4 linked regions of the Mus musculus genome follow. The protein of the gene in region 3 interacts with the protein of the main gene of each other region in a pairwise test. Links are inferred from orthologs where the notes say so. Each region holds a gene or a part of one and is shown on either strand. Other genes may lie near its edges.

Region 1 (8,203 bases), on a different chromosome or scaffold from region 3:
GCTGAGAAGACAGGCATATACCACATCTGGAGTTTGTTTTTTAAGACAACCATAGCAGACTAGGCAGGCATAATGTTCTGAACCTATTGTCCCAAATACTCAGAGGCTTTGAACCTGCAAAATTAATCTCAAATCCCTAATCCTCCTACCTTTACCACCTAAATACTGAGATTAGAGGCACACTGCCATCATGCCTTGATAACCCTTGGATTTCAGACAGGGTTATTTTAGCCCAGGATGATTTTGAACTCATGATCCTACTTCTTCTACCTCTGGTCCCAAAGTGCTGAGATTAGAGGCATACAACACTATGCCCAGGTATCTATATGTACCTGAATAGGTTCTTGGTATTTGTAAAACTGTTAGAAAGGAGGTGAGAAAACAAAACAACAAAACCAAACACACCTCTCGAAGAATGGCATTGCCATCATTGGTCATCACGATGCCTCCCATTGGGTCCAAAAGCATCTAAGAAAAAGCAAAAGTGTTACAGATAACAAAAAAAGGAGGACATGGGGTTTGAATTCCAATAAAAGGTAGTCCAACCTTCATCATAGATTTAGGTCCCAAGCAGGTCCGGATGATGTCTGCAATTGTCTGTTGGTAAGGAAACACAAAACAAGAAGCACAGCAGAGAATAATGTGAGTGTTTCTAATAACCATTGTTTTGTTTTAAACAGGGTTTACCTAGGTAGCTCCGACTGGCCCTGAAGTCAGAGACAGGCCTGCTTCTGATTCTCGATGATAGGATTAAAGGCATACTCTACCATGCCCAGTGCATAGCCAGTGTTTTAAAGACTTATTTTTATGGGTATGAGTGTTTTGCCTAAATATATGTTTGTGCTTCAAATACATGCCTGGTGACCAAAGAGGCCTGAAGAGCATGTTGGATACCCTAGAACTGGAGTTACAGGAGGTTGTAAGCTACCACCTGGGTTCGGGGAATCAAATCTACGTCTTCTGCAAGAGTAGCAAATACTTGGGGCTCAAGAGATGGCTCAGTGGTTAAGAGCACTGACTGCTCTTCCAGAGGTCCTGAGTTCAATTCTCATCAACCACATGGTGGCTCACAACCATCTGTTATGGGATCTGATGCCCTCTTCCAGTATGTCTAATAGTGTGGTGGTGCATGCCTTTAATCCCAGCACTCGGGAGGCAGAGGCAGGCTTATTTCTGAGTTCGAGGCCAGCCTGTTTTACAGACTGAGTTCCAGGACAGCCAGAGCCACACAGAGAAATCCTGTCTTGAAAAAAACAAACAAACAAACAAACAAACAAACAAAAAAGAGTAGCAAGTGTTCTTAACTATTCAGCCATCTCTCCAGCCAGTGCCACTGTTTAACAATGGCACTTAACGACGAGAATGGTAACTATTTTAGACACAACAAATAAATTTTCAGAAGCTATTTCAGTTTTAGTGTCCTAAGAGTTCAGCATTAATACTTTTATTGACAGTGGCCTCTGGTCCACATGAAATCAAGACTTCTAATCATTCACTCAAAAATATACTTACTGAGCTCAGAGTGGTGGCACATGATTTTAGCCCCAGGATTTGGGAGACAGAGGCAAGTAGATCCATGAGTTCAAGGACAACCTACTATACGCAGTAAATTCTAGGCTACCCAAACAAGAGGGGACAGGGCTCTTTCAGAGGACCTAGATTAAAGTCCTAGCACTGATACGGGAACTTTCACAATGGCCTGTAGCTCCGGTTTCAGGGGGATCTGACCACCTCCTCTATGCTTCCATGCCATGTACACACATACATACATGCATGGAGGCAAAACACTCCAACAGTAAAGTAAAACAAGCAAATCTTTTAAAAACCTCCCTTCCTGTATCACCACCAGGGAAATGCCTTGGAAAAAAAAAGCAAGTTTTCCTCTGCTCATTGTATGAAGTACAGAACCATAGGAAGTTTGCTACTACCAATAAGGAAGTATTAGGAGAGTCAGCCAGAACAAACTGCTGTTATCTCATAAAACATGCACTACCTTTGCAGCATTGATATTTCCAGACTGAACTTTTCTTCCAGATTCACGCTTTGTGTTCTGACCTAAAACAGACAAAAACACATGTCAACAGCCCAGTGTACACAATCATTTTATTTCCTAACTTAAAAAAAATGCTACATTTTAATGTATATATCAGGTGTACAAATGCTTGGCAAAACTGTGAGGTCAGAAAACAACTTTCAGAGTTAATTTTCTTTCTATCACATGGGTGCCAGGGATCAAACTTGGTCATCCAAGTCAGGTAGGGTGGTGCATGCCTTTGACCCCAGCACTTACGGCAGAGTCAGGAGTATCTCTGTGACTTGGCATATATATAGAGAACCTGCCTCAAATGAAACAAACAAACAAACAAACAAACAAACAAAAATAGCAACAACAAAAAGACCTCCAGTTATTATTAGGCTTAGTGTCAGGAGCTTTTTTTTTTTTTTTAAACCTGTTGAGCCATCCTACCACCAACCCTATTCATCAAGTTTTGAAAATAAAAATAAATACAAAGTTTTCAGTGTATAACCAGCAGTCAATTACAACTGTTTAAGGTTGAGCGTGGTAGCATATGCCTTTAATCCGAGCACTGATGCAGATGGATTTCTGTGACTTGAACACCAACCAACTTGGTTTATAAAGTGAGTTAGTTCCAGGCTAGCCAGTTACGAAGTGAGATGGCCTGGTAGTTAAAACCTTTGGAAGCTCTTGCAGAGATCTCTGCATTCATTTCCAGCACCAACATGGTAGCTCACAATCATCTCTAACTACAGTTCCAGGGGATCTGATGTCCTTTTCTGGTGTCTGCAGGCACAGACATAGAGGCAGGCAAAAAACACAGATAATGAGAGAACCCCCGGTATAATAAGAGATAACCTGAAATGCTTCAACTTCATAGTCTTGACCAGTACTTTCCTTGTATGCATGCTTACATATTTCCAGTGATTCATATCTTGAGTGCCCTGAATGGGCCTCAGTAGGACAGTGATTTTTCACAAGACTGCACACCCCTTACAACATCCCCGGGAAGAGGAGCCACAGAGTCTCAAAGATTAGTGACCAAGAAAGTCTGCTTGTGAGGCTGGAAAGATGGTTCAGCTTCAATTCCCAGCCCCTCAAGGTGGCTCACAACTGCCTGTAACTCCAATTCCAGGGAATCTTGGTGCCATACACAGACGAAAACAAACAAAATATCAATCACAAGCCAAGGAATCTCACGATAGAACAGGAAAAAGACTAAAGCCTGAGAGCCACCCTGTAGGTAAACTTCTCTCAGGAGACTAGAGCAGAAAATAATGACTTCTTACAAATCTGGCCTGCTGCTTAAAACCTCATGGACTCGTCTACGAGTGTGTAGGAGAGGTAGTGTCACTGAACACCTTTGTCTCTCCTCCCAGTGTGGCCAGACTAAATCTGTTTTTCTCTTTACTATGTTTAACTTTGACCCAGGCTTACTGAGTTATTCTCAATAGCTCAGGTAACTGACAAGGAACTGGTGCTCTTTACTGAGATGAGTGGCGTTCCCTAAAGAGGAAAGAAAACCAGGAAAGGAATTTGGGAGAACTGGCTGGTGGGAAAGATCACATCCAAGATCGGGAACGCCAGGAATGTCATTTCCGAACAAGGGTTGCTGAATGACCGCTACTGAAAAGATGCCACTTCCGATTCGATCTGCCGGTAAAGGCAGCTTTTACTTATCAACTTAACAACTCTACTACAGCCTCCTAAATACTGATGCTAAAGTATCAATCAAGCGAGTTGCCGTTAAGTCACGCCTCTACGGAGGGATGGACCGAGCATAGGAAGCAAGGCCTACCGTTAAGAACCATCATTACTATCTACACGGAAATCATGCTGTAAAGGACACGGGGGCGTGGAGGGTGGCGACTAAAGAACCGAACGCGAATAGGATGAAGCACACGTAAAGACTAGCGACTCCGAGAGCGGAAAGTCATTTTGTCAAAAGAAGGCGACAGGAGAGGCAAGAGAAGAAAAGTGGGGAAGGAGCTTGGTCCAAGGCGAAAAGACCACTGGAAGGCACGAGGGCCGAGTCATGGCGGGACGGAGCTGGGCAACACTGGCCAGCTTGGGGAGAGAGGGGCGGAGAGAGACATCCCTTCCCTGAACTCACTGAGCACGAGCACTGGACGGTGGCCCATCATGGCGGCACGACGCAGAGCCGACTCTCCAGAGCTGGGGGGAATCGGCAGAACCTTCTGGAGAGAAGAGCAGCGAAGAAAACGCTGCCTCCTCAGGAATGACACAGAAACCTGCTAACCTCTGAAGTGCCGCCAATCACCAAACTCATTTTATTGATTGACAAAAACATAGGCCAATCGACAGTATTAGCCCCGCCCTCTACGCAAGAAAGGCAAGGCAAGTTAGATAGAGAGGGCATGATGTAGGGGACTGGGAGACGCAAGCGCTTGCGCACTGGCGTGGCCGCTCCCGGCCGCGTGCGGCCAGAATGTCTGCGCAAGCGCCAAAGCACGGGCAGTTAGCTGGCTCGCTACAGCGCATGAGTACCCACTAGAGGGTGGGTGCTGGGGTGGAGGCTTTGGATTAATGCTGTAGGTAAGATCATGAAGCTCTGTTTTGTCCATCGGTTCTCGTCCGACCGTGAAGGCCAAGGAAGGCATGATAGTTCTCTACTTTTTATTTCAGCCTTAGCGGTAGGGAGGAGTAGAGGAGCCAGAAATACCCGTCGTGGCCCGAGAGATTGAGGCAGTGTAAAAGTGGAAGTTGTCCTACGGGGCGGGGAGGCAACGACTCGGCTCCCCGCCTCCCCGGAGCATGCTGGGAGTTGTGGTTTACTGCTCTAGACGCGCTGGTTTTCTTTTTTAAAGAAAAGGAAGGAAAATTCTTGTTCTTTAGATGTACCTATTTTTTATTTTATGTGTATGGTTGTTTTGCCTGTGCGTATGTAGGTGCACCACTTGTGAGAGGCGATCAAGCGGGAGTCTGATCCTCTGGAACTGGAATTGATTGTGAACCGCCACGTGGGTGCTAGGAAGTAACCCTGTCTGCGGGACCATCTATTGCTCTTAACTGTTGAGCTATCTCTCCTGTCCTAATGTCTTACTTCTTAGAAAAATACGTTGAGTCTAAGGCAAAAAGACATAAAGGAGGATCGCTCACATTTCCCCCGAATATCCTAAGTCGTGTTTCTTGCAGTATTATGAGTCTTCTTCGCCCCCTCCCCCCCAGCCTGGTCACTGGTTAGTGACAAAAGAAACTAGAGTTTTTGTTTTTTTAATTACCGTATTATCTTTACCAGAGTTCTAAGGCTGGCCTAAAACTCGTCGTAAAGACCAGGCTGATCTCAAACTGGAGACAAGCCTCTTGCCAGATCACCCCATATAGGAAAAAGACAAAACAAAACAACAAAAAAAATAAGGCTAGTAATTAAACAGAAGTCTCAAAGAGTCATGACATGTTTGTGATAGATTTAAAGTTCGTATTTGGTATGCTTTGTCTTCTGCAGTGAAAAGGCACTAACAAAAACTGCCGAAGGGAATTGGAGAAAAATTAACAATTTCAGAACAGTTGTTTGTTTGGTGTGGTAGCACACCCCTGTAATAAACTCCAGAGGCTGAGTCAAGAGGATAGCGATTTTCAGTGGCTTCAGTCTCCCTGGACCACATAAGGGAGGCAGCCTGGAGGGAAGGCTCAGTGGGCTTAGAGGGTATATTGCTCTTGCAGAGAACCTCAGCACAATTCCTTGAACTGATGTCTGGCTGCTCACAGTCACCTCTCACTCAAGGGAGATCTACTCATATATGTACATATTCACATAATTAAAACTTAAAAATTTTACATTTAAAACCAGACACCTCTATGAGATAGTGTATACACTGTTATATACTGTTACACTTCGGGCTTTCAGGGGAGTGCTTAGGAAAGAAGACACTGTTGTTTGACCATGTGACCCTATTATTCTTTCCCAGGCACCAGACCTGTTGCTGTCAAGATGGAGCAGCACACTAGTAACCCTACTAAGGAAAAAGGTGTGTCACAGCCCCTGTGTCCCCTCCCTCAGAAGCCAGCCTTCCCCATTCACTCAGGGTTTCAGAAATGAAACTAAGGAAAAAGGTGTGTCACAGCCCCTGTGTCCCCTCCCTCAGAAGCCAGCCTTCCCCATTCACTCAGGGTTTCAGAAATGAAACTAAGGAAAAAGGTGTGTCACAGCCCCTGTGTCCCCTCCCTCAGAAGCCAGCCTTCCCCATTCACTCAGGGTTTCAGAAATGAAACTAAGGAAAAAGGTGTGTCACAGCCCCTGTGTCCCCTCCCTCAGAAGCCAGCCTTCCCCATTCACTCAGGGTTTCAGAAATGACTAAACATTTGCCACTAAACAGTGGCCTGCTACTTGGTTACTTGGAAAGTACTTGTGGGATATTTTTGGGTAAAGGAGATAGGTTTAACTTTGCTGGCTATGGAACTCACTATCCTTACTTGAGACAACCCTTTTGCCAGAACAGTCACATCCCAGGGATTATAGGTATGACCTACTGTGTCCAGCTTTTTTTCTTTTCTTTTCTTTTTCCTTCTTTCTTCTTTTTAAAAGAGTTGTTATATAGACCAGCATGTCCTCAAACTCGAAACAGTCCTGCTACAGCCTTCCCAGCTGCTGAGTTGACAGGCATGTACTACCTACCTGACTTTGATGAGTTATTTTTATAGCACTTGTAAAGTGTCACTAAGTAGATCACAGCTTTGCTGCCTAGAGACCCTGGCTTAATTCCATGCAACTGCCATGTGCCAGTTGTGGAATCCTGACCAAATTTTATTAACATGGGATTCCTCAAGTACAATGCTGCTAATACTGGCTACCTAGGACCATTGAAAAGGATATGTCGGGGCACTGCAGAGGTGGCTCGGTGGGTAAAGTCCTTGCTATGCATACCTGAGGATCTGAGTGTGGCTCCTCTAAATCATATAAAAGGCCAGATATGAGCCGGGCGTGGTGGCGCATGCCTTTAATCTCAGCACTCAGGAGACAGAGGCAGGCAGATTTCTGAGTTCGAGGCCAGCCTGGTCTACAGAGTGAGTTCCAGGACAGCCAGGGCTATACAGAGAAACCCTGTCTCGAAAAACAAAAAAAACCAAACAAACAAAAAAAAAAAAGCCAGATATGGTGGCATATGTCTGTATCCCAGTACTTATGGAGGCAGGGACATAGAGTAAACAGGTAGATCCCTGATGGCTATTGATGAGACAGTCTAGCTGAAATGATAAGTTCCAGGTTTGGTGAGAGACCCTTACTCAGCAAAATAAAGCAAGGCTGGGTGTGGTGAGTTCCAGAACATCAGGGGCTACAGAGAAAACCTGAACCAACCCCTCCAATAAAACAAAAAAGAAAAAAATAAAGTGGAAGGGACAGGAGAGATGGTTAAGAGCACTGGCTACTCTTCCAGAGGACACAGGTTCAATTCCTAGCACCCCTACATGGCAGCTCACAGCTTTCTATAACTCCAGTTTCAGAGGCTCTGAATGCTGATACCCTCTTCTGGTCTCGGAGAGCACCATACACATGAAACTAAATAAATGGAGAGCAATTGAGGAAGATACCTGATGTAGACCTCTGGTTTCCACATACATGCACATACACAAGCACACACAGAAGAAACATGTATGTGTACGTATGTATGATACATACACATGTATCAGAAGCTGAACATGGTGATCTTCACCTGTAAACCTAGGCCTCAGAGTCTGAATATTGCTGCAAATTCCAGAGCAGCCTGAGTTACACAGACCCTGTCTAAAAAAAATATGTATGTGTGTAGTTTCATACGTGTAGTACCAGCACTTAAGAAGCAGAGGCAAGAGGATAGTCATAGAATCAAAGACAGCCTGGGATACCAGGCTGACGTGAGGTCAGGCCAGCCAGGACTGCCTCTCTAGACCCTGTGTCAGAGAGCTGGCTCAAGAGTTAAGAGCAAGGGCTGGTGAGATGGCTCAATGGGTAAGAGCACCCGACTGCTCTTCCAAAGGTCCGGAGTTCAAATCCCAGCAACCACATGGTGGCTCACAACCATCTGTAACGAAATCTGACTCCCTCTGGAGTGTCTGAAGTGTACTTACATATAAATAAATAAAAATCTTAAAAATCTTAAAAAAAAAAAAAGTTAACTATGATATTTTAGCCGGGCGTGGTGGCGCACGCCTTTAATCCCAGCACTTGGGAGGCAGAGGCAGGCGGAT
Region 2 (6,336 bases), on a different chromosome or scaffold from region 3:
TGGAATGACAGTGCTTGGGATCAACAGGGTTTTTCTTAGCTTGAAATTAGGACAAAGGGGAAATAATAGGTGAGTCTGTTGGGAAAGGACCTGACCCTAGCACCTTGCACTAGAGCAGTCAGAGGAACCTACAAATAAATACTCCACTCCTGAGTTCTGAGCACCCAGAACTCCAGCCCCGCTAGGATTGGCATTCTTAGACTGACAGTCTCATAAGTATACAGGGAGGCCACTGTTGGCTGGAGGTGGGGTTTGGGAGTGTCTATGTGCATACATAGGATGGGGGAATGGTAAACGTGGATCTTTTGGTGGACAGGGAAGGGAGGGGAGAAATCATTTCTAGTATATCCGTCATGACCATTAAGCCACCCTCCACCCTCCCACCCCTGTGCTATATAAGTCTTGAGTATCCAAAGTGGAGAAGGTCGGATGGAACTATTACTCTCATTTTACAGAGAAGAAAGAGACTCAGAAAAAAATTAGATGTTTCTTGCAAGCCACATTCAACAAGGAGAGAAATGTTTTACATTAGAAAAAAGTTAAAAACAAACAAACAAACTTTTGAGTCTTTAGTTTGCCCTTAACTTCTGACTCCTCTATTTACAGAATACATGGCCCCAGGCATGGAAGTCTTGGTTTCTTTACATCTATAGTGAAGACAATATCTGCCTCATGGTATCCTTGTGAGGTTACGAGATGCGAGATGGCTAGTTTGTAAGGCATGTCTCTCCACCTGTCGAGTGTGTGCAACCACCCCACCGCCAGCGTGAAGATTACAACTCTGTGCGTGAACTCTCAAGCACAGTGGAATGTGACAGTCCCCACTCTTTGGGGATGGGGTTCTACCTACGGCAGCCATTTTCAGAGTCAGAGAGGAGGAATGTAGCAGCATGAGAGAGGCATGAACCTTGCAATGGAGACCAGCCTGTTGATTCTGCACCCCGATGCCACCTTCCAAGCCCTGCCGAGTTCTTTGAAAGCTGCAGATTCTGCAACCTCTACTTTTCCTCTCTGCTCTGTTTACCGTCACACATCTCCCTTGCAATTTGGCTGCTTGAAGGAGGTTTGTTTGCATGAGGCCATGGAATGGGCAGGTCCCACCTTCTCTGCTGAGGCCTGGCACCTGCCTGGCACCTGGGGACACTGTTACAGCCCCATTGTAGAATACTCCAGTGAGCTCTTACCAGCTGCCCACAGTGCACTGGTCCCACACAGAGGGCTCCAGGTTAGTGATTTTCATCCAGACTTCCAACTGGGTTTCTGCAAATAAAAGCCTGTGTTCTCTCACTTTCAGTCCAGAACCATCTTACACCTAACATGGGGTACTTGTAAGAAAGCAGCCAGATGCTAATGCTGACCCCCAGGCCCAGGACTAGAAACAGCTCCCTTGTCAGGGGAGCCACCCATCATCACTTAACCCACTGGATTCAAAAGCACATGCCACAGATGCAGTTGGGATTCAGGTAGCTGCTGCCACCCTGGTGCTACCACCAGTCTTTTATAGGGCTGAGTGCTGCAGGCAGATGCTAAGGTGTCAGTACCAAACACCCCTGATGCTTCCCTCAGGATCTAGTTCTCATCTAGTGGTGTTGCTGCAAGGGTGCCTGGGAAATGAGGCTTTTGATAGGCTGTTTTCCAGCCTCAGTAGAAAATGAAGGAGCAGGTCAAAGGCATGGGAGATGGATGCTAGAGCAAGCATCAGTTGTTAGAGCAGCAGTTTCTACTGTGGTAGCCACCTGCTCTCTTCTTCCCAGCAAAAACCCGGCAGACATCCAGTTTTGGAGCTAAATATTTAAAAAGAATTTATTAGCAGAGCAGTGACCCCTGGCCCAGAGTTGTGTGTGTGTGTGTGTGTGTGTGTGCTCACAGGCTTTTACACTGGCACCGTGTCTTTCAAGAATCATTCAAGTGTTTCATTGTAGAGTTGAGAACTTGTATCCCGTGAAGCTCTCGCAGTTGGGCAGCAAACCTGTGGTAAGTCAGGATGCAGAATCCAGGTTAATATACGTCACACTTCACAGCTACCTTCTGCAGATGGATGCTGGCCATGCACTGATCACTCGAGGGAAAGGGAAAGTGACAGTGGCACAGGAGAGCCTTAAAGATCAAAGAGAGTAGTGGGACTCTAGGGGAACCCACACAATACTGGGAACACTCAGTGTCAGGTGTGACAGGCCGGTCAGATGAAGCTGTGCTCTTAGGAAAGCCCTCCATCCCACCCCAGCAGGGGGCCACTTTGAACTTATCCTAGTAATGGGTTTCTCTTTTTGTAGAAAAAAAAGCTTTTCTCTTTTTCTTCTACTTGATCAATCAGAGAGGACTTGAAAGAGCTTTCAGTGACAACCAAACCAGCCTTCTCATTTCGGGGGGATGGGGGGGGGGAGAGATGTGTGCAGCTGTAAGGCAGGAGCCATATTGAACCCCATCCTCAAGGTCTCCCTTACTTCTATGCAATGGACCATGGCACAGCCATGGGGAAACACCCTGAGACATACACCATGGGATGGTTAAGCATATAACAGGTCCAGGACAGGTAAATGATGCTCCGGCTTGCTGGCTGGTCTCAGGCATGCTGTTCTGTAGCCTTGTCTCTCCAGCAGGAGACTGTTACTGGCACTGACCAGTCCTCCATTTGCTTAGAGTCAAGTCAATCAATAAACGAGCCAATCAATCAGCAAAAAAATTAGAAGTCTGGTCCAGAAAAGTAAAGAAAAAGATGAGGCGCTAAACATGGTAGTGCACAGCCACAGTCTCAGTTTTGGTGAGGCAGAGGCAGGGGGATTGCGATCCACCTGAGCTATAAAGCAAGTTATAGGCCAACTAGTGAAGAGAGAAAAGAATGAAGTGAGGGAGGAAGGAAGAGTGGGAGAGAGAGGAGGGGAGGCAGAGATATTGAAAGAGAGATGAGAGAGATGGGGAGGGCAAAGAAGAGACAGGGGCAGAGACATACAGAGAGACAAAGACAGTATGTGTTACAGATTGCATATTAAATGTACTTCAAAGGTCCATGCACTGAGGCCTTGGTCCCAGTCTATGGCACTGTCAGAAGATGACAGAAGCTTTAGTGTGCTTGGCCTAATGCGGGTGAGATTTAGGTCACTGGGGTGTTCTCAAAAGGGAGTTGGGGAATCTGTCCTTTCTGGTGTCTTTCTTGGCTTCTTGGGAACCGTGACATGAATGGCTCCCCTCTGTGCTATGTACCTGCCATGGGGCACAGCCTTGCAACAGGTCCAAAGACACATGTGAGCAGAGGCTGAAGAAGCTCCTGAGACCATCAGTCAAAATAAGTCTTTCTTTAAATGAACATTCTTGTCACAGTGACAGAAAGCTCAATAATAGAGGAAGAAGAAGAGACAGGACTGGATGTGTGAGAGAAAGAAGAAAATGAAATGGAGACAGTTGAAGGCAGGGTGGATGAACAGATGGTGACCATGTGCCTGGAACCAAACCCTGTCAAAGGCATTTCCTTTCTCAGGCTGGAAGTTGTGATTTCCCCCCACAGGAAGGACCCTTATCCTAGAGACGTAGCTCATGGGGACCCCGAGTGGCCTGCACACAAGGCAGGAGGTGGTACCTCTGTGGGTTCCTCCCACAGTGCTTGGTTTGCCCTGCTCTTTCTGAGATGTTATCACCACTTGGGTGGCCTGGCTCAGCGTGACCACAACCGACCTGGGCTCAGCAGTGCACAGCTTCCCCAGAGCGATGCCTGCATTCAGCTGTACGCCTGTCTCCTTTGAGTCGCTGCCTGCCAGCTTCAAGAGCACCCTCACGATGTCCGTCTTCAGCAAGGAAGGGGCTGCACTGGGCACTTCCATGCAGTTGCCAAGGCAGAGGGCAGCATTGCCCGCCAGAATTTCATCCTCAGAGGCAAGCAGCAGCATCAAAAGGTCAAACTCTACAGGGAAACATGGGTAGAGGGAGCAATTGCAACAGACCGGCTGAAAAGGCTGCCAAGATGGGCAGGGGAGGTTGACGGGGTGGATGGCAAGCTTCTTCAGAAACTTGGGGAAATGTGTGTGCTCTCCCTGTAGCTTTGTACTGTGGTATAACTTGCTTTGCATAGCTGGACATGATGGATTAATCCCAGCACCCAGGAGGCAGAGACAGGGAGATTTGTGTGAATTTGAGGCTGGTCTGATCTACATAACAAGTTATAGATCAGCTAGAGCTACATCTGAGACTGTGGTCATTTGAATAGGAATGGCCCTCATAGACTCATGAGTGTGAATGCCTGGCCCATAGGGGGTGGCACTGTTAGAAGGTGTGGCCTTGTTGGAGAAAGGGTGGCCTTGTTAAAGGAAATGTGTTGCTGTGGGGTGGGCTTTCAGGTTTCCTATGCCTAAGCTTTGCCCAGGATGGTATGTAATCCCTTTCTCGTGCCTACAGATTGAAGTAGAGAACTTTCAGCTTGTACTCCAGCACTGTGTCTGCCTGCGCCCTGCCATGTTTCCTGACACGATGATAATGGACTAAACCTCCGAAAACTGTAAACCAGGCCTGGTTACAGGTTTTCCTTTCTAAGAGTTGCTGTGGTCATGGTGTCTCTTCACAGCAATGAAACCCTAACTGTTTTTTAAATGGTTTGGAGTGTCAGAAAAGTCTGTTCTCAAGACCCCTCCCCCCACTCTACATCACCTCCCTGCCTGAGTGAGAGGTTTGCATCTTTTCAGATGGAAAGTTCTTGTCCTCTGTGGGCCCCATCCAGTCAGTCAGTGTGTGAGGAGGAGGAGGAGGAGGAGATATAGAGAACATTAGGAATCTTCCCCTGCTTGGACCATTGCCTCCCAACGCCCCATGAAGAGCTACAGTGGATTTAGAGTTTAAGTTAGATTGTGGGAAAATTAAAGTAGTGTTTGGTCACGTGGTAACTCTGTAGCCTTCACATCTATCTTATGATGGAGTGACATCAACACTCTTCAGGCTAACTGTCTAAAGCAGTCTTAATGAATTCAGTTGGCCTCAATGCTGAAAGTCCCTTTGCTCTCATCTTAGGATTGAAGGTGCTTCATTTCTGCCCTCCTTCCAAGAAGGGAGAGAGCCGGTGCTAGGCCGGTTCCAGCATCACTATAGAAACAAGTCCAGGTTAGCGTCACGGGTGGGGGAAGTTGTCTAGCTTCTGCCCTGTGATCTTTGAGCTGCCTGGCATTTTACCGAAGGAAGCACAGACCGAAGGCCAAGGAGACACTTTGTGACGGGAGGTGAACTGACATCCGGTTGTGGAAACACTACAAGGGAGGGAGCCCCGCTGTCTAGATCTCCCCACCTCCTCCTCAGCCTCCATTCTCTCTGCAGCTCCCAGGGTGAATCCCTCTTTGAGGCCTGGGCTCCCATAATGAAACCATCACTTACTTTTATCAAGTCTCACTACTTCTTCCCGAGCTGCATGACAGCTGTTCGTGCAGATAGCCAGTATCTTTATGGCGTAACGTGATGCAGTCTGGCCTCCCATCTAGGTTGCAGAACAAATATCAGAAACGTCAGATCAAGGGTCTAGCCATTCTTGCTCAGATACCTCAGTGACTATAACAGTGCCAGTGGCCTCCGTGGCATCTGTAAGAGGATTAGATGAAGTATGACATATGCTCCATAAGTGAGCAAGGATGGAGGTCACTTGAACCCAACTGTCCACCTAGCCCATGCCCAGGGTGACGACGTAGGCCTGTTGCCTGTACACCTGACACCACTAAGTGAAAGGCTTTACTAGAGACTGTCTTAGACAACAGTGATGCTGTTCAGTAGCTGATGTTTTCCCAAAAGGAAGCAAATGCCCCCCTCCCATCCTTTGGCTTTGGAGAATAAGGGTTGATAATCTCTGTGAAGAGTCACCAACTGAGATCATCATAAGAGGTAACAATTATGCAAGCATAATTCCATAATATCAGGGTCTTTAGGATGTATGTGGATGCATCCAGCAGTCTCTGGCATAGTGCCAAAGCTGTAGGGATAATGACAGGCACTGACCAAGCGTCGCTCTTCACTGAGATCCTTCACCCTGCCCCGGTGTCATCTGCCCTGCCTGGTGGCATCTTCCCCAGCTTGAGCTTGCTTCCTGCCCCGCTTAGCAGTACTACTGCATCAGTAACATGAGTGACAGTGCATGGGTAGGATTTAGAGGCAACAGTCTGATAATTCCCTGTGCCTTTCCAGGTGGATCTAACTCCTCACTTGGATTCTTTGCACCTACTTCATTCGGGAAATTCCAACATCCTCTGGTCACATGATAACTCTGCAGCCTCCAAAGCTCACAGATGGAGTTAACAACTGGTCCACTCCGGATAAAGACAGAAAGTACCAGAAATCCATGAACAAAATAATTGCCTTATGGGACCTTGCCAA
Region 3 (7,454 bases):
TTGGTACTCAGTAGGTAAGATGCATTGTGTACAGTTTTAGGACTTACATGTTTAAACAATATATAGTCTAGCTAGAAAGACACATAAACATATACATATATACCAATAATGATATCTGGGGCATATTGTTGATAGCAAGATCTTCTAATGTACTTTTAAAAACCCTAAATACTATAATAATAAAGAGACTAGAGATATTTTTCTTTCTAGGAAGATAAAGACAGCTTTGTAGAGAAGATGCAGTTGAATTGGTCATATTATATTGACAGATATGATGTTATTAATAATGTAGTGTTTTAGAATATTTCTAATAGTCTTACACTCAGTAATTATATGTTATACAAGTTATTCTTTACAAGAAGTCAGCCTGCAAAGCCAGATTTACTGTCTAGCCTGATCTAGGAACTTTTCTTATGGGATAAAAAAATGTGCCTCAAATTTCCTAGGCAATTAGTAGGAAAGCAGGTATTGAAATCCAAAACTATTTGACTTAAGCACTGACCCCATTTTTTTTCTATGCCCAGTGCTGCACTGACTCTCATAGAATGAACAATGTTCTCCAGGAGGCTGGCAGGGAGGGCAGAAGGCTCTAAGTAGGGAGGTCAACATTTGCAGAGGCATTTAGTCTTGAAAAGGCAGAGCGCTTCTGAGGAAAGAGACAGGCAGTGCAGTAGGGAGAAAGATAACAGGAGGAAATAATATGAAGCATCATTGGTCAACAGCTTTGCATGTCTATTTCATTGAGTTCCTACATTTGTGAGGAAGGCATGTCACTGTGAATATCAGCATGAAGTTTCAAAACAAACTCCAAGTACCTACCTACGCATTGTAACCCAAAGCCTAAGTTTTCAAATTATCATGTTATATTAATCATATATGCACATCTTTATTTTTATCATAATTATTTTTCAGTTATAATATAAGAACATGGTTAATATGTACCATGGACCTTGGAATTAGGAAATTACTTTGAATCTTATAAAGAACAGTTTCAGCCAGTTGCCAACAATGTAATAAAGAGCAGAGGAATAGGTAGATATTAAAAAATTAAAGATTATTATTGATCATCTACTCAAGATTTGGCTGTGAAGAGAGAAGAGATCTCTCTCATTTGATTTTATAAAGTATTTACATACTTTCAAAGAATTACTACAATGAAAAGTCAGACACTATAGAGCATACTTAGCCTATCTTACCAAGTTTTATTTATTGTCTTTTCAGAGGATAATCTCCCTAAAAATTCCGGAGAATGCACAGGCTGATGTTCATATAACCACGATGAAGATGCACACTACTACCTAATTTGTGGCTAACAAAACAAATAGAAGACGTAAAAGAAATAGCTCACGTGGGTCTTCTTGGAAACCAGAATGAAAGAGTGGAGAAGCAATTTCAACACTTAACTTTTATAAATGACATGTTGTACTTAAACCGATCCCCAGATTGGTAGTATTCCACTAAAAAGATTTTGTTTGTGGTTAAACGTGCAAAATAAAGATGATAAAAGTTTGCTTAATAGCTAAAACTACCCAATTTACTAATTTCCCGAGACAACAATCTTTCCACTCCCTGGGATACGAAAGATCTTTCTTTTAAAACATGATAATGCTAACTGGCAAGATAAATATTGACATCTCCAACATTTTGAAAACTAACTGGTCTCAAGAAACCCTTATTTTAGGGAATTTTAGTCACATAGCAATGAAGTACTTACATATAAACTTTGACATTTAAAATTATTTGTAGACGGTACAAACAGGAGTAAATCACAACTGTCCAAGTTGCTGTGATTTACAATACAATTTATATATCACAGCATTTTTAGTTTGTTAATGCACATTGCAAATAACCAGATGTAGTTTCCAAATGAATTTGTACCCAATCTTAAAACAGATAATTAACAGGACTTAATCAAAAGTTTCAAGGTACAATGGCAGTAAAGATTAAAGTGTGTAACCCCTGAATTATTCCAAAATGCCTTTGCCTCGATTCCCCTGAGTCTGGTCTATCAATTTAAATACAGTTGCAGAGATGATGGGGAAACGGCTGAGATGACTGATTTCACCTAGGAAGTCAAGGGAGTAACGGTCCTTGGGCATACAACCTAATACTCAGAGTCTGAAAGAGAAAAGATAAAGATGCTGTGTTGGCAACTAGAGGTGATACAGTTTGTGAATGCTGCCGTGCTGCTGTTACTCGTACAAAAGAAGGTTAGGACGACACGCCGTATTCCATAACAAACTTCTTCAGAAAATGCTGCTACAGTGTTCAAGTTCCATAAATTAATAACGGACATCTTTGCTTGGGAAATTGTTAACATTCTGTGCACTGTTGTAAGGACGGACTGATTATGCAGCTTTGTTTAAATTTTAATAAAAATGCAAAGAACTGTCAAAATAAACAAATATAATTATGCACTCTGAAAGCTGCATCGCATACTTCTAAAGAACAACACAAGAAAATTAATTTCTGTGTACTGGGTTGAGTGCAGCTAGAGGCTCAGTGAACAAGGTCACAGGAGATCTCTTCTCCAGGGCCCTGACAGTGAGGCTCAGTGAGAGCAGCTGCTGGTTACTTGACTGCCCCTCCCCTTTGCAAATAACACTGGGGAAGGATTTAAGCACCGCAGAATCCACGAGCTGATCCGGGGCATTTAGTATATACAACCTGTCCCAAATCATAGGGTAACAATAAGGGCCAAGCAAATAATTTTTTCTATTGAAAAAGGAAGTGAAATGTCAGCTTAAAAAGTTCATTTTGGCTACTTTTTCCTGAGAGCATTAGTAAGTATACAAACAAGAAAAACTATGTGGACTGTTGGGTTTCCCAAGGAAAGTTTTTTTTTTTTTTTTTTTTTTTCCTTTTCTTTTCTCTAACGTTTCATGCCTTTAGGGTCAGGGCTGGATCGGTTACTTACTTCTGAACCTTTTCGTTGGCTGCCTGGGAGGCCTCCACAGCACACTGAAGCTGTAATTCCATGTGAGAGTGCTCAGTGAGAGCCTGCTGAAGTTGGGTGGCCAGTTCTTCATTCTGTTGCTGAGTGATGGAGACAACGCTCTCTCTGTTTTTTAAGGCTTCTTCATAGGTACTAAGGGCATGGTTAAACTGATCCTTCAGGCTTTCTTCTTGAGATAATGATTTGTGCAAGCTGAGAAAATGTAAAAATACAAATATAAATAATGTAGGCTAAAAGTTCAATGATTTGTTTAATAAAAAAAATCTTCATGTGAAACCCCTCTTCTAAAAATCAATATAGAATACCTAAATGGGCAAATGTAAATAGCTTTTATAACGTATTATTATAATTGATCATTGTTCTGTAACTCTGCTACTAGGCCAGGAGCAATGCAGACAACTGATTATCTATGCTATCAAAGCACACAGAAAGATGCTGTAAAATGTTAATTTAATTATGTCAGTGTAAATATTACATTCAATTTTCTTTTAAAGGGATAGCACAGAACTGGAAAATAAAGTATTTCTAGGTAAATAAAAGTATAATAAGCTGACTGCAAAGACAGGGGAGGAGAATGGACATCGGTCTAGGAGATCTAGGGCCTATCGAAGTACTAAGTGAGAATGGACGAGGTTTGTGCAAATACCCAGCAGCCTCACACACAGACCCTTCCACCTGCCACAGTGGAAGGATGAATGATGTAAAGTCACCAGTCAGAGGATGTGCATCCAGATACCTATCTTTATGGCTAATGAACCTTATGATAAATACATCTACTCATTAAGTGATATGGAGAAAGAGCATATAAATTAAGACGAAATGAATGCAGAAGAAAATGCAGACAAATAGAATCCTAAAATGCTAAAGGTCAGATCTTTGATATGTCATTACACCCACCACCTGAGGTTATTTTGAAATGGCACCAAGCACCTCACTCAATTAAATAAAGACATTTTGAAAATATAAATATTTAATAAGGGAAATTTAAAATCCACATAGGAGATGTTCTTTTTTTATTAAATAAAATCATTCTGGTATATGAATACAAAGGAAATGTCGCCAGAAGTGTTGGAAGTGCAACCACTGAGCTATATAACACAAGTTGAGAATATGAATGAAAGCAATATAATTCTTAAAGCCGCAAAAAAGCTAGTTGGAGAACTTCAGTACTGGCCTAATACTAGCCTGATGCTTCATCTAAAACTGTTCAGATGAGTGTGATTATCTATTTCTTCTTTTCAAGTTACAGAAAAGCCTCTACAGTGTCCTCAATATGGGGTAGGTATCGCATAGAAACCAAGACAGTTAACATATCAAAAGAAATCATTTCAGGATTTAAATTAATCCCCAACAATAGAGAATGGTGCTAAACTCTGGTCAGTTGGTTATCCCGTGTAAAATTACAATGAAGTGCAGAGAGATATGTGACTCCCTTTACATCCCAGCACAGAGGCTACTCATTATTCAGGTTGTCTCCCAAAGATTCCCCTTCCATCAGGATGTTATCCAGCTACAGTCTACAGTACCAAACAGTAGGAATTAGTGATTTTTTTTTAAATTACTTTTATTTTTTTTACAGTCCAGTTGTTATCCCCCTCCTTGTCCTCCCTCCCACAGTTCCTCATCCCATTCCTCTGCCCCCCTGTCTTCAAGAGGATGTCACCACTCCCCCCCCCCCCCCGCCCCCATACTTCCAGAACTCCCTACTCCCTGGGGCCTCAGGTCTCTGGAGACAGCTGGTTTTCCCATGGGGTTGCCCGACTCCTCAGCTTCTTCCAGTCTTTCCCTAATTCAACCACAGGGGTCCCCAGCTTCTGTCCATTGATTGGATCTGGCTCTGTCTCAGTCTGCTACTTGTTGGGCCTCTGGGAGCACAGCCATGCTAGGATCCTGTCTGTAAGCACACCATAGCATCAGTAATAGTGAGACCTTGGAGCCTCCCCTTGAGATGGATCCCAAGTTGGGCCAGTGGCTGGACTGCCTTTAAGTGGTATCACTTAACACCCTGCAGGGGCATCTCATGCACTCTGGGAAAAAAAAAATCCCTAAAAATAACAAATTATATATTTTAACTCACTGAACCTGCAAACAACCTTTTTGAATAGTTTCATTCACTGTCTTTGTTTTATGAGTGAAGAAACTGAAACAGAGAGAGGCAGGGAATTTAAATAATCCCATCACCCCAGCAGTACCCCCTAGCCGAGCCTGCATTTGAACCCACAGCCACACTCCTAGCCCCTGTGTTTGAACACTTACTCCGTGCTTGCCATAGCTCTTCACTGGCTTTTCGACCTTCAACCAGTTTCTTAAACAGAAAGCTTTTCCTGCCCACTGCATTTGCACCACTTTCCCTCTGTGACAAACTCCTACTCACTGGGGAGATTTCAGTCTAAACTCTGCTTCTGCACACAAACCTTTGAGACTCTCCAAATTTAAATTGTTTATTGTTAGTCCTTTGGTAACTACATCCAACATATAATGTATTCTGGTTACTCTCCCCCCCCCCCACCCCCGCACCTTCTCTTATCTTCCTCTCTTATCAACCTAATTTTCACCTGCCAGTCCCTTTCTCAGATGCAAGACTTTGAATTTGGTTTGGTTTGGTGATCCACTTAGTTTAATCAGGGCCACCTGGTGGAATCTGCTGTGGGTATACAATGGAAGGCAAAGACTTCTCTCTTCCTCTCTATCAGTAGGAGACAGTTCAGAGTGAGTGGCCATCAGCAGTCCTTGTGCAGATTTGGAGTGGTCACCTGTGTTTGTCGAGAGGTTGTAATTATAAAGGCCCTGTAGTATTCAGAATTTGGCCTTTGGCATTAGAGCATTTTGCAGCCCTTTTCTCTGGCCTTTACATTTGTTCTCTCTCCTCTCTTGCAATGCCCCCTGAACCTAGGAGGGGATGATATTAAATGCCTTGTGTAGGGCTGAACACTCAGCTGACACCTATTCCTGTACTTGTGTAGCCCTAAGTCTCTGTAAGCACCACAATTCACTGGAAAGAGTATCTCTGATAAAGGTTGTAGTTATCTTTGTGTATAAGCACACACACATGCGCACAAACAAACACACACAATTTAGAAGGCAGTTTGAGCATATGTCAGTGTAGCTAAACAATAGAACTAAATTCATTATTAGTGTGATTACAAGACTCATGAAGCCACTATGGAAATTTGTGGAAACTACCACAGGATTATTCCTCTGTTGGACATATTCCCCACCCCAATTATTTTTTAAAAGTTTATTGTATTATATTTTTCTTATTCACTTTACATCCCACTCACTGTCCATTTCACGGTCACCCCTTCCCACAGTCCTCTCCCTATTCCCATACCCCTTCTCCTCTGAGTGGGTGTACCGCCCCAAAAATTTATAGCCTACTACTGAAATACCTGTTCATCCATACTTATTGCTACTGTATTTACAATAACTAGGAAATGGAATGAGTCAAGATGCTCATCAATTGATGAGTGGATAATGAAAAATGTGGTACATATACACAATGGATGAGATTGACAGGTAAGTGGATGAAATTGGAAAAAAAATTATACTAAGTGAGGTAACCCAGGCACAGGAATAAATAATACTGTATGTGACCCTCTGTTTGAATCTCTCATTTTGTGTTTTCAACATAAAGCGTTCCTACAGACACCAGTAGTCTATGAAAGAAGCTATTGGGAGAAAGATACTGTGTTCGGGTTTTACTGCTGTGAACAGACAACATGATGAGAGCAAGTTTTATAAAGAACATTTAATTGGGGCTGGCTTACAGGTTCAGAGGTTCAGTTTAATATCATCAAGGCGGGAACATGGCAGCATCCAGGCAGGCATGGTGCAGAAGGAGCTGAGAGTTCTACATCTTCATCTGAAGGCTGCTAGTGAAAGACTGGCTTCCAGGCCACTAGGAAGAGGGTCTTAAGCCCATACCCACAGTGACACACCTACTCCATCAATTCCACACCTCCCAATAGGGCCACTCCCTGGGCCAAGCATATACAAACCATCACTTTAAGGGAGAGAGGACGTTAAGCACAGGTGTTATGAATGTAGAGGATGTAATACTGGGGATAGAGAGGTTTACACAGGGAGGAGGTGGCAGGGTAGGAAACAGGAGGCGCCAGGTTAATGAAAAGGAAGGCTATATGAAAAATCCACGGGAAAGCTACTCTCTTATAATTATATATGGCTCTTGCCATTTTTTTGTTTGCCTACCATGACTACAAGATAAGAATATACCAACTTTATAGATGAATATACCACCTACTGTGGTGGTATGATATAGAAAAATGATGCTAGAACTAAGCTAGAAGAATTGTCCTTGCTAGAAAGCTTTTACAGTGTAGGAAGGTCCTGTGTGGTCAGCTGAGGAAGAAAGAAGGGAGGTGTCAGTGGACCTAGCTGTGAGCCCTATGAATGGCACTATCAACTTGCCAGGCAAGATGTGCACACTTGTGCAATAATGGCACAAATCTTATGAAGGCAAGTAATAGGTCTCTGACTG
Region 4 (7,890 bases), on a different chromosome or scaffold from region 3:
ACACACACACACTTTCCCCATAGTCTTAACAAACTAGGAACTCAGACATCTAAATTGTTCCTTTGATCTTTGATGGCTCGCTCTCTGATGTGCTCTTGTGTTAACATTTTATTTATTGTGTAGTGCTGTGTGTGTGTGTGTATGTGTGTGTACAAGTGGAAGTCCCAGGTCAACATTGGGTGTCTTTCTCAATCATTTTCATCTTACTTTGTGAGTTTGGTTTGGTTTGGTTTGGTTTTTCAAGACAGGGTTTCTCTGTGTAGCCTTGACTGTCCAGAACTCCCTCTGTAGATCATACAGTCTTTTACAAAAGTATACTAAAATATTTACAGATTAAATAATTATTACAATTTGCTTCAAAATTTGTAGGGTGTAGAGCAATAAATGTAAAATGGGTAGCCTTCAGGGAGTAATTGCTGGGGCTGATGGGTAATATCAAGGCTGATGGGTAATTGTGTGAAGCTCATGGGTGTTCCCTGAGGCTCATGGGTAATCCCTGAGGCTCATGGGTAATCCCTGAGGCTGAGTAGCAGGCCTGTGAAGTCTATCATATCTTTTTGTCAAGTTTTTTATTTATTGTATTTGAAAATTTCTGTGGAACTTTTTTCTTTTAAATTATTAAGCCTTCCTGAGTATTCTGAATGCTCTTTTCTTAAAGAATATTCTTGCCCTTTACCCACCTCACTTCAAACAGCCCAGGAACAGTAACTTAAAACCCACTAGCATTTCTTTGTACAGTAACATAGAACTCACTTCCTGAACTACTGTTAACTCTGAAAAGACTTTGAGTTTGAATACATAAAAGGATATCCTAGGGGAGAGAAATGAGTTCTAAGAGTAGAAAGAGAGAAAAAAGGAGGGGAAAAACCTGTCTTTATTAAAACTTCCCAGGTATGTGTGTGGGGGGGGGAGGTCATGTGTATACATGTATGTGCACATGTGTGCTCATAGAGAGCTTCCACAGAGGTATAGAGACAATGGCTAAATTCTTAACCGTCAGGTTATAGTCACATAGGCCCTCCGTCAACCTTATTGAAGGTGACTATCAATACTTTGAAAGAAAGGGACTTCTTTTCCAATAGTCAGCAAGCCAATGCTGAGACTACTTGGATGGAGATAGGGTGAATTTTTGCCTAAAACTGGGAATAGTCTAGATTTGCATGCTGGAAACCACGTGAGAGCAAGAGTCACCTCAAGTGCTGGAACCTTCAGCTTCTGATGAGATCTCTGGAAGAACACGAAACTGCATGTCTGGGGGTGTGGGGTAGGGCCCTTGGGGTGCAGTAAAAGGAGAAAAAAGTATGGCTTTTATTGGTTAGAGCCAGGTTACACGGTCACCAGAGCCATAAAACCTGTGAGGACACTTTGCAAACAGCCTTTTGTTTATCTAAGTGACTATACCTTTCAACTAGACAGAAGACAGATGTCTATTAATGAGTTCCTAGGCCAGGCCAGGTGCTGGCTACCACCCTTTCTGTTTGCATGGCTTTTGATACTTTTTTGCTGGGGGGGGGGGGTTGTCCCCCACCACCACTGGCTTTCCCACTCCCACCCTAATTATTAGTAGTAGATGACCCTGGAACAGAGGGCGGACAGGTGGACCTGAGTAAACCCCTACTCTTCCACAGAAAGATGTTTCGATGTCTCCAGTTGTGCTTTGAGTCTAAGCTGGAGCTAGTACTTTGTTTACATTGAACCTCGGTTAGTTTTGAAGGGAAGTATGTCTTTGTGTGGTGTCAAACAGCCTCACCTATTGCTGTGTGTCCTTGAAATACAGGCCTCAGCTATTTTTGTTCGTTCCTTTGTTTATTTAGAGAAGTTGGGTCTTGTTTTATTTTCCCTGGGTAACATCAAATTCACAGAGATCTGCCAGCCTCTGCTTCCCAAGAGCTGGGATTTAAGGCGTGTGCCACCATGCCCGGCTCAATTTTATTTTTTAAGTAAAGGTCTCTAACACTTCATTCTCTTGCCTCGGCCTCCCGGGGACTGAGATCACAGGTGTGAGTCACCACTAGTTTATTTGCTGTGTGGGTTTGTTTTGCTCAGTGTTAAAGATCAAACCCCAGGATTTGAAAAGTACCTTGGCTAAGCACCCTACATATGAGCGAGCAACGCCCCTGGCCCGTTTAGGCTATTACTCACACTCAGGCTAATACACATCAACTTTAAATGTACAGTTTCACTCGTTTGGGTGATAACACATACAAGATCCTACTTTATCTTGTGTGTTTCTGCTTTTGTTAAAGAAGCAATGTCAGGAGAGGATCACCTCACATACTCCCAGAGACTAATGAATGATCTTTCTTGCTAAGCATCGGTGTCTGCATCTTTCTCAACAGACTGACTCGCTAGATCCGTCTGGACAGTGTGCCGTTAAGTGGGGTGTGCGGGCACCCTTAAGCGATGGTCCTTATTCTTCTGAGTAGCATTCAACCATTTCTGCTAGCATACATTGACATATCAAAGCGAACCACGCGGTTGTGGATTTCGCTTAGTGCTTGAAAACCAGTGCAAGGTCCTGGGTTCAGTTCTTAGCTCCTGGGAGAGGGACAAAGGACCACCAACCTCGTCCTCCTCAATTTTGGAGAAAAAAAAAAAAAAAAAAAAGGTAAAAGATAAGCACAAAGCAAGCCACTCCATCCCGGAAAGACAGCCAGTCCCTGCAGCCCTAGGAGCTGGTGTTCCGATCACGCATGCGTAGACACGCCTATGTGCTAGAGGCGCTCCGGCAGGGGGCAGTATAGCGACCAGAGGGTGTAACGCCTGTCGTACTCTCTGGGCGTAAAGCAGCTTTGCTTTACGGCTCCCGCCTCCGCCGTAAAGCCAGCGTGCCCACGTGCGACAGCGACAACTTGCCACTGGGAACCTTGTGTTTTGTTTGTTTGTTTGTGGCGAGCTTGACGTTTCCGCTATGGGCAAACGCCGGAACCGGGGCCGCAGCCAGATGCTCAGCACCATGACCAAGAAGCAGAAGAAGCACCTCCGCGACTTCGGCGAGGAGCACCCCTTCTACGACAGGTCGGGGTGCGCGGGCCGCCGGGAGGGCTGGTTCCGGCCGAGTTGAGCCGGGTCCGGTCGGTGCAGGACGGGAACCCCGCTGCGGAGGTGCGCTCTGCACCGGGACCTGCTGAGACCGCGGGCCGTGCTGCCTGTCATCCGAGCACGCGCGGGCTCAGGCGCGAAATCGCAGCTTAGCCCAGCCAGGGCCGCGTAAGGGTCTCCAAAAACAGGACGGGAGGTCGGGAGATAAAGTTGGCCCTGAGAGGTGAACCCCGGTGTGCCGTTAAAAGCCAGTTTCTGACTTATCCTTTCTTAAGAGATGTCATTGAGCTCTCTTGTCTGTTACCCTTTTGTCTGCTGATCATCTCTGCCCTTGTGCATGCAGAATTTCATTTTTTACACTGACTGGATATTATCCTGTATTGGACATTTTTTTTTTTTTTGGTATTCATTTAAAGCAGAATCATTATGCCTTTTCGTGATTGTTACGAACTAGCAGCTAAAGTTTAATGTTATCTATTTCTATTTTAGGGTTTCCAAGAAGGAAGCCAAGCCGCAGATTTGTCAGCTGGTAATGCTTTTTTTCTTTATAGTAGTTGGAATTGGGTTGTTACCTTTAAGATTGGGTGTAAACGTAAAGTTTGGTTTGCATCCCCGTGTTTCTCTGTTTTGGGTGTGAGCTGTGATTTTAGTAATGCTACCCAATTGGTTGTAAGTGATGGAGACAGCTGTAGAAATTACCATGTGATGAGAGAGGCTATGGTTGGAAACTACCCCATGACACTGTCTTAAGTTCTGTGGAAGGGGTTCATCAGAGTGCTGGCTCCTTGTGCATGAAAGGCTTCACACAGTATAAAATGGACAAGGGGCCCGGAGACTCAGACAGTGACACTTGCTTGTAATTCTCCTCTTACATCATGCAACATGAAACCTGATGTCTGAGATGTAAGTTAAAACTCATAACCTGAAATTTTGTTTGAAAAGTCAGTTTTCTTTCCACGTGCAGCTGATGTCAATTAGAACCATAGCTTGGTTAACTGTTTTATTTAAGTTTCATGCCCGGCTTGGTTCAAGAGATGAGACTGTAATATTTGCTGAAAAGCTCATAGGGATTTTTGTTTTGTCTGTGAGTTAATGTATATTCATTATACAAAGTAGCGGGTTTCCTAAGGACTTTTCCAGTCAAAATTATCTGATCGTATTCATTTCCTTCCTTTGACTGTTTGTCTTCCATCTCTGCTCATCCCTTTCCTCTTCCCAAATTCTTGTCCTTTTGATTTCATGACTTCTAATTTCTTTTAAATCTAGTTTCCTTGTGCAAGAGAAAATATTACTTGTCTTTAGTCTGACTTATTTTTACTTCCTTATCACCCATTCTATCCATCCCCTTGCATGTGATATAATTTCCTTCTTTGTGGTTGAGGAAATTCCACTAATATGTATTTCTCACATTTTCTTTCTTATTTTTATTTTGACAACAATATATATATATATTAATTTCTCATTTTTCTTTAGCCAGAGAGTTCAGATTCTTCACATTCTGAAAGTGAATCAGAGAGTGAACAAGAGCACGTTTCAGGGTACCACAGACTGCTTGCTACATTAAAGAATGTTTCTGAGGAAGAGGAAGAGGAGGAGGAGGAGGAGGAGGAGGAGGAGGAGGAGGAAGAGGAAGAGGAAGATGACAGTGCTGTAGGTGATGCAGAAATGAATGAGGAAGCTGGCAGTGAGGATGGCAGTGTGGGAGAAGCTGCTGTCTCGGAGGCTGCTGAGGAGGCTGCTGAGACACAGGAACGTAAGTGCCTGGGGCCGGCCTGTCCTCTTCATTCTGTGTTGTGTGGGCTGAGTGAGAGCATGTGGTTCCAAGGCAGAGATTCAGCCTTGTTGGGTTGGGTTAGCTTTTGAGACTCTGATGGGAACACAGGACCCTCTCATCAGGAAAATGCTGTTGGCTTACTCTTTGGGGGACTTGTAACCTCCCGTAAGACCGCTTGGCGTATCAGGGGGACATTATGTGGTCACTGTGACAGCTCAGTTCACTGAAGAGGTTGTTCCGCTTCAGTAAGAGACCAGGTTTGATGGGAGGTAGACATAAAAATACAAACTTTCATGTTGTAGATTTGTTTATATGAAGCAGCTGGAGAGGAGATGAGGCTGCTCTCACTGGGTCCTTAAGGTGACTCTGAGAGGTACTGGGACTGAGAGCCCAGAGAGACTCTGTCTTAGGGCTCAGATGCACCGCTAAGTGATCTTCTGTGCCTGGGAATCACATCCAGGGTCTTGTGTATGTCAGACTGAGCTCGTCTTTTGAGTTACGGTCTTACTGTGTAGACCAGGCTGGCCTTCCGCTTACGATCCGACTTCTGCCCTGGAATACAGGTGTATACCTGTGAAGGAAGGCTTTCCGCCTGTCCCCAGATCTCAAATGACGACTCTGAGACTTAGTTATGAACAAGTGCCTAGACCATAAGCTTGGGCTTGTTCTCCGACAAGCTCATAACTATATGCCCCTCTAGTCTATAACATGCGAGCCACGTGGCTGGTTAGTTACTCCTCAGAGTCCGCTGGTGGAATCACCCTCACCTGAGTAGCTCCCAGAGTTCTTCTCTCTCTACAGAACTCTTACTTCCCGCCTTTTTTACTAGGCCATCATTTTTTTACTGACAAGTGATGCTTCCATACTGTACATAAGAGAATCTTTCTACACACCCCCATGCCTGGCTTTTTTTTTTTTTTTTTTAAATCAGCCTCATTAGAATATGTTTATATGCAAACAGAAGGCAGCCTGGGCTGACCAGGTGGTTCACTGGGTAAAACCTCCTGCTGTAAAAGGTGACAGCTTGAGTTAGAGTTCCGGAACCCACGTAAAGGTGGAAGGCAAGAACCAGATCCGGGTAGGAAAAACTAACTAATAACGAAGTGTACCTAATTTCTATATGCAGTTTGAGCTTTGACAAACATGTACCTTCCATGACCTACAGAGATGCCTATCCTTTTGCTGGCACTGAACTGACTCTGGTCGCTGTAGACTGGCTGTGCCCATTATAGAAATCTGGAAACATGGTTAAACACACAGCCTTTTTGAGACAGGCTCTTACTCTGTAAACCCAGCCTTGAGTTCACTGTGTGGCCCACAGTCATGACCATCCTCCTGCTCCATCCGCCTTCTACCTCCCACCTCTCAGTGCTGGGATTGCAGGTGTGTAGTGCAATGTCTGGCTTGTGTCTATTTTACCTTTGTGCTATTGTTCTTAATAGTTTGCTTTTAATTGCTGGATATATGTGGGTGACTTCTATATCTCACTATCTCAGTCCTGTTATTCTTACAGTCACTTCCTTTTTTGAGAGAGTATCACTATCCCTAACTGGTGGCCTGGCATTTGCTGTATAGGCCAGGCTGGCCTCAAACTCACTTCCCGAGTACTGGGATTTAAGGTGTGCACTACCATTCCTCATTCCTCCTAACATGGTCTCCATATTCCCTCCATTCCTCTGTGATGCTGGGCCTCATACATGCCAGCTACACACTTTCCCACTAAGTTACATCCCAGGCCTTTATTCATTTAGTCATTCTTTCTTTTCTTTCTTTTTCTTTTCTTTTTTTTTGGACAGGGTTTCTCTGTATACCCTTAGCTGTCCTGAAACTCACTCTGTAGACCAGGCTGCCCCCAAACTCAGAAATCCGCCTGCCTCTGCCTCCCAAGTGTTGGGATTAAAGGCATGTGCCACCACTGCCAGGCTTTCTTTTCTTTCCTTTCTTTCCTTTCTTCCTTTCTTCCTTTCTTCCTTTCTTCCTTTCTTCCTTCCTTTCTTTCTTTCTTTCTTTCTTTCTTTCTTTCTCTTTCTCTCTTTCTCTCTTTTCTCTCTTTTCTCTCTTTTCTCTCTTTCTCCCTTTTTTGATTCTAGCTAGGGCCTTGAGCATGATAGGCAAATAAATTTTTTTTAAAGATTTATTTTATATATATGAGTACACTGTAGCTGTCTTCAATTATACCAGAAGAGGGCATCAGTTGGTTATGAACCACCATGCTGGGAATTGAACTCGGCCTCTGGAAGAGCAGTCACAACCGCTGAGTCATCTCTTCAGCCCAGCAAATACTTTTTTTTGTTGTTTGCTGTTTTAAATCTTAACCTGCCCACCACCCCCCCACTCCCCACCTCACCCCCACCCCCCACCCCCCCAAAAAAAGAGCGGGGCATGGTGGCGCATGCCTTTAATCCCAGCACTCAGGAGTCAGAGGCAGGTGGATTTCTGAGTTAGAGGCCAGCCTGGTCTACAAAGTGAGTTCCAGGTCAGCCAGGGCTATACAGAGAAACCCTGTCTTGAAAAACCAAACCAAACCAAAATAAAACAAAACAAAAAAAATCTTAGACCAGCCATGTAGTGGTTTTCCTAGTTAGCTTTACTGGGCTAAAAATCCTTTGCCTTGCTGGGCACAGTGGCACACTTTTAATTTCAGCACATGGAAGGCAGAGGCAGAAGGATGTCTGTGAATTCAAGGCCAGCCTGGTCTCCATAGTAAGTTTTAGAACATTCAGAGTTACATAGTAAGACTCTGTCTTGAAAAACAAAAACAAATAAGCAAAAACTTACGTTGCTATAATTTTTAAATGTTTGGAGGTTCTTAGTGCTGGTTTTCTTTGCATTTAAATTTTTAGAGGAAAATGGTTTTGTTTATTGCATGTTTTAATTATAAACATTTGTCTTATTTACCTCAGAAATGTGAGAAGGGTCATTAGGATATAGCACAGTGGTTGAAATGTGTGCCTAGGATAAACACAGCCCCGAGTTTATCCCCAGCGCTACATAAAACCAGCTGTGGTGGTATGTGCCTCTAATTCTATCACTTGGTGAAGGTAGAAGCAGGAGGACCTAGTCTTGCAGTACTG

What was found.
Region 1: the proteins of Mipol1 (region 3) and Cct3 interact in binary tests that used the Homo sapiens proteins (3 or more experiments, as listed by UniProt). The two-hybrid records come from large-scale screens. The link is inferred for Mus musculus from reciprocal best matches to the Homo sapiens genes MIPOL1 and CCT3.
Region 2: the proteins of Mipol1 (region 3) and Ttc12 interact in binary tests that used the Homo sapiens proteins (3 or more experiments, as listed by UniProt). The two-hybrid records come from large-scale screens. The link is inferred for Mus musculus from reciprocal best matches to the Homo sapiens genes MIPOL1 and TTC12.
Region 4: the proteins of Mipol1 (region 3) and Utp25 interact in binary tests that used the Homo sapiens proteins (3 or more experiments, as listed by UniProt). The link is inferred for Mus musculus from reciprocal best matches to the Homo sapiens genes MIPOL1 and UTP25.

What each region holds. Positions count from the first base shown.
Region 1 is NC_000069.6:88,293,194-88,301,396, reverse strand, and holds the start of Cct3 (T-complex protein 1 subunit gamma), read right to left. Parts: upstream 4,263-8,203; 5' UTR 4,162-4,262; coding exon 4,131-4,161; intron 2,056-4,130; coding exon 1,994-2,055; intron 598-1,993; coding exon 547-597; intron 469-546; coding exon 406-468; intron 1-405. Other genes in the region: Tsacc (TSSK6-activating co-chaperone protein), read left to right, coding at 5,970-6,006, 6,564-6,638. UniProt on the Homo sapiens protein: Component of the chaperonin-containing T-complex (TRiC), a molecular chaperone complex that assists the folding of actin, tubulin and other proteins upon ATP hydrolysis.
Region 2 is NC_000075.6:49,436,488-49,442,823, forward strand, and holds the end of Ttc12 (tetratricopeptide repeat protein 12), read right to left. Parts: intron 5,450-6,336; coding exon 5,350-5,449; intron 3,896-5,349; coding exon 3,670-3,895; intron 1,970-3,669; coding exon 1,894-1,969; 3' UTR 474-1,893; downstream 1-473. UniProt on the Homo sapiens protein: Cytoplasmic protein that plays a role in the proper assembly of dynein arm complexes in motile cilia in both respiratory cells and sperm flagella.
Region 3 is NC_000078.6:57,452,647-57,460,100, reverse strand, and holds the end of Mipol1 (mirror-image polydactyly gene 1 protein homolog), read right to left. Parts: intron 3,149-7,454; coding exon 2,914-3,148; 3' UTR 2,860-2,913; downstream 1-2,859.
Region 4 is NC_000067.6:193,125,172-193,133,061, reverse strand, and holds the start of Utp25 (digestive organ expansion factor homolog), read left to right. Parts: upstream 1-2,810; 5' UTR 2,811-2,911; coding exon 2,912-3,018; intron 3,019-3,078; exon of another isoform or gene 3,079-3,210; intron 3,211-3,531; coding exon 3,532-3,571; intron 3,572-4,515; coding exon 4,516-4,795; intron 4,796-7,890. UniProt on the Homo sapiens protein: Component of the ribosomal small subunit processome for the biogenesis of ribosomes, functions in pre-ribosomal RNA (pre-rRNA) processing. Essential for embryonic development in part through the regulation of p53 pathway.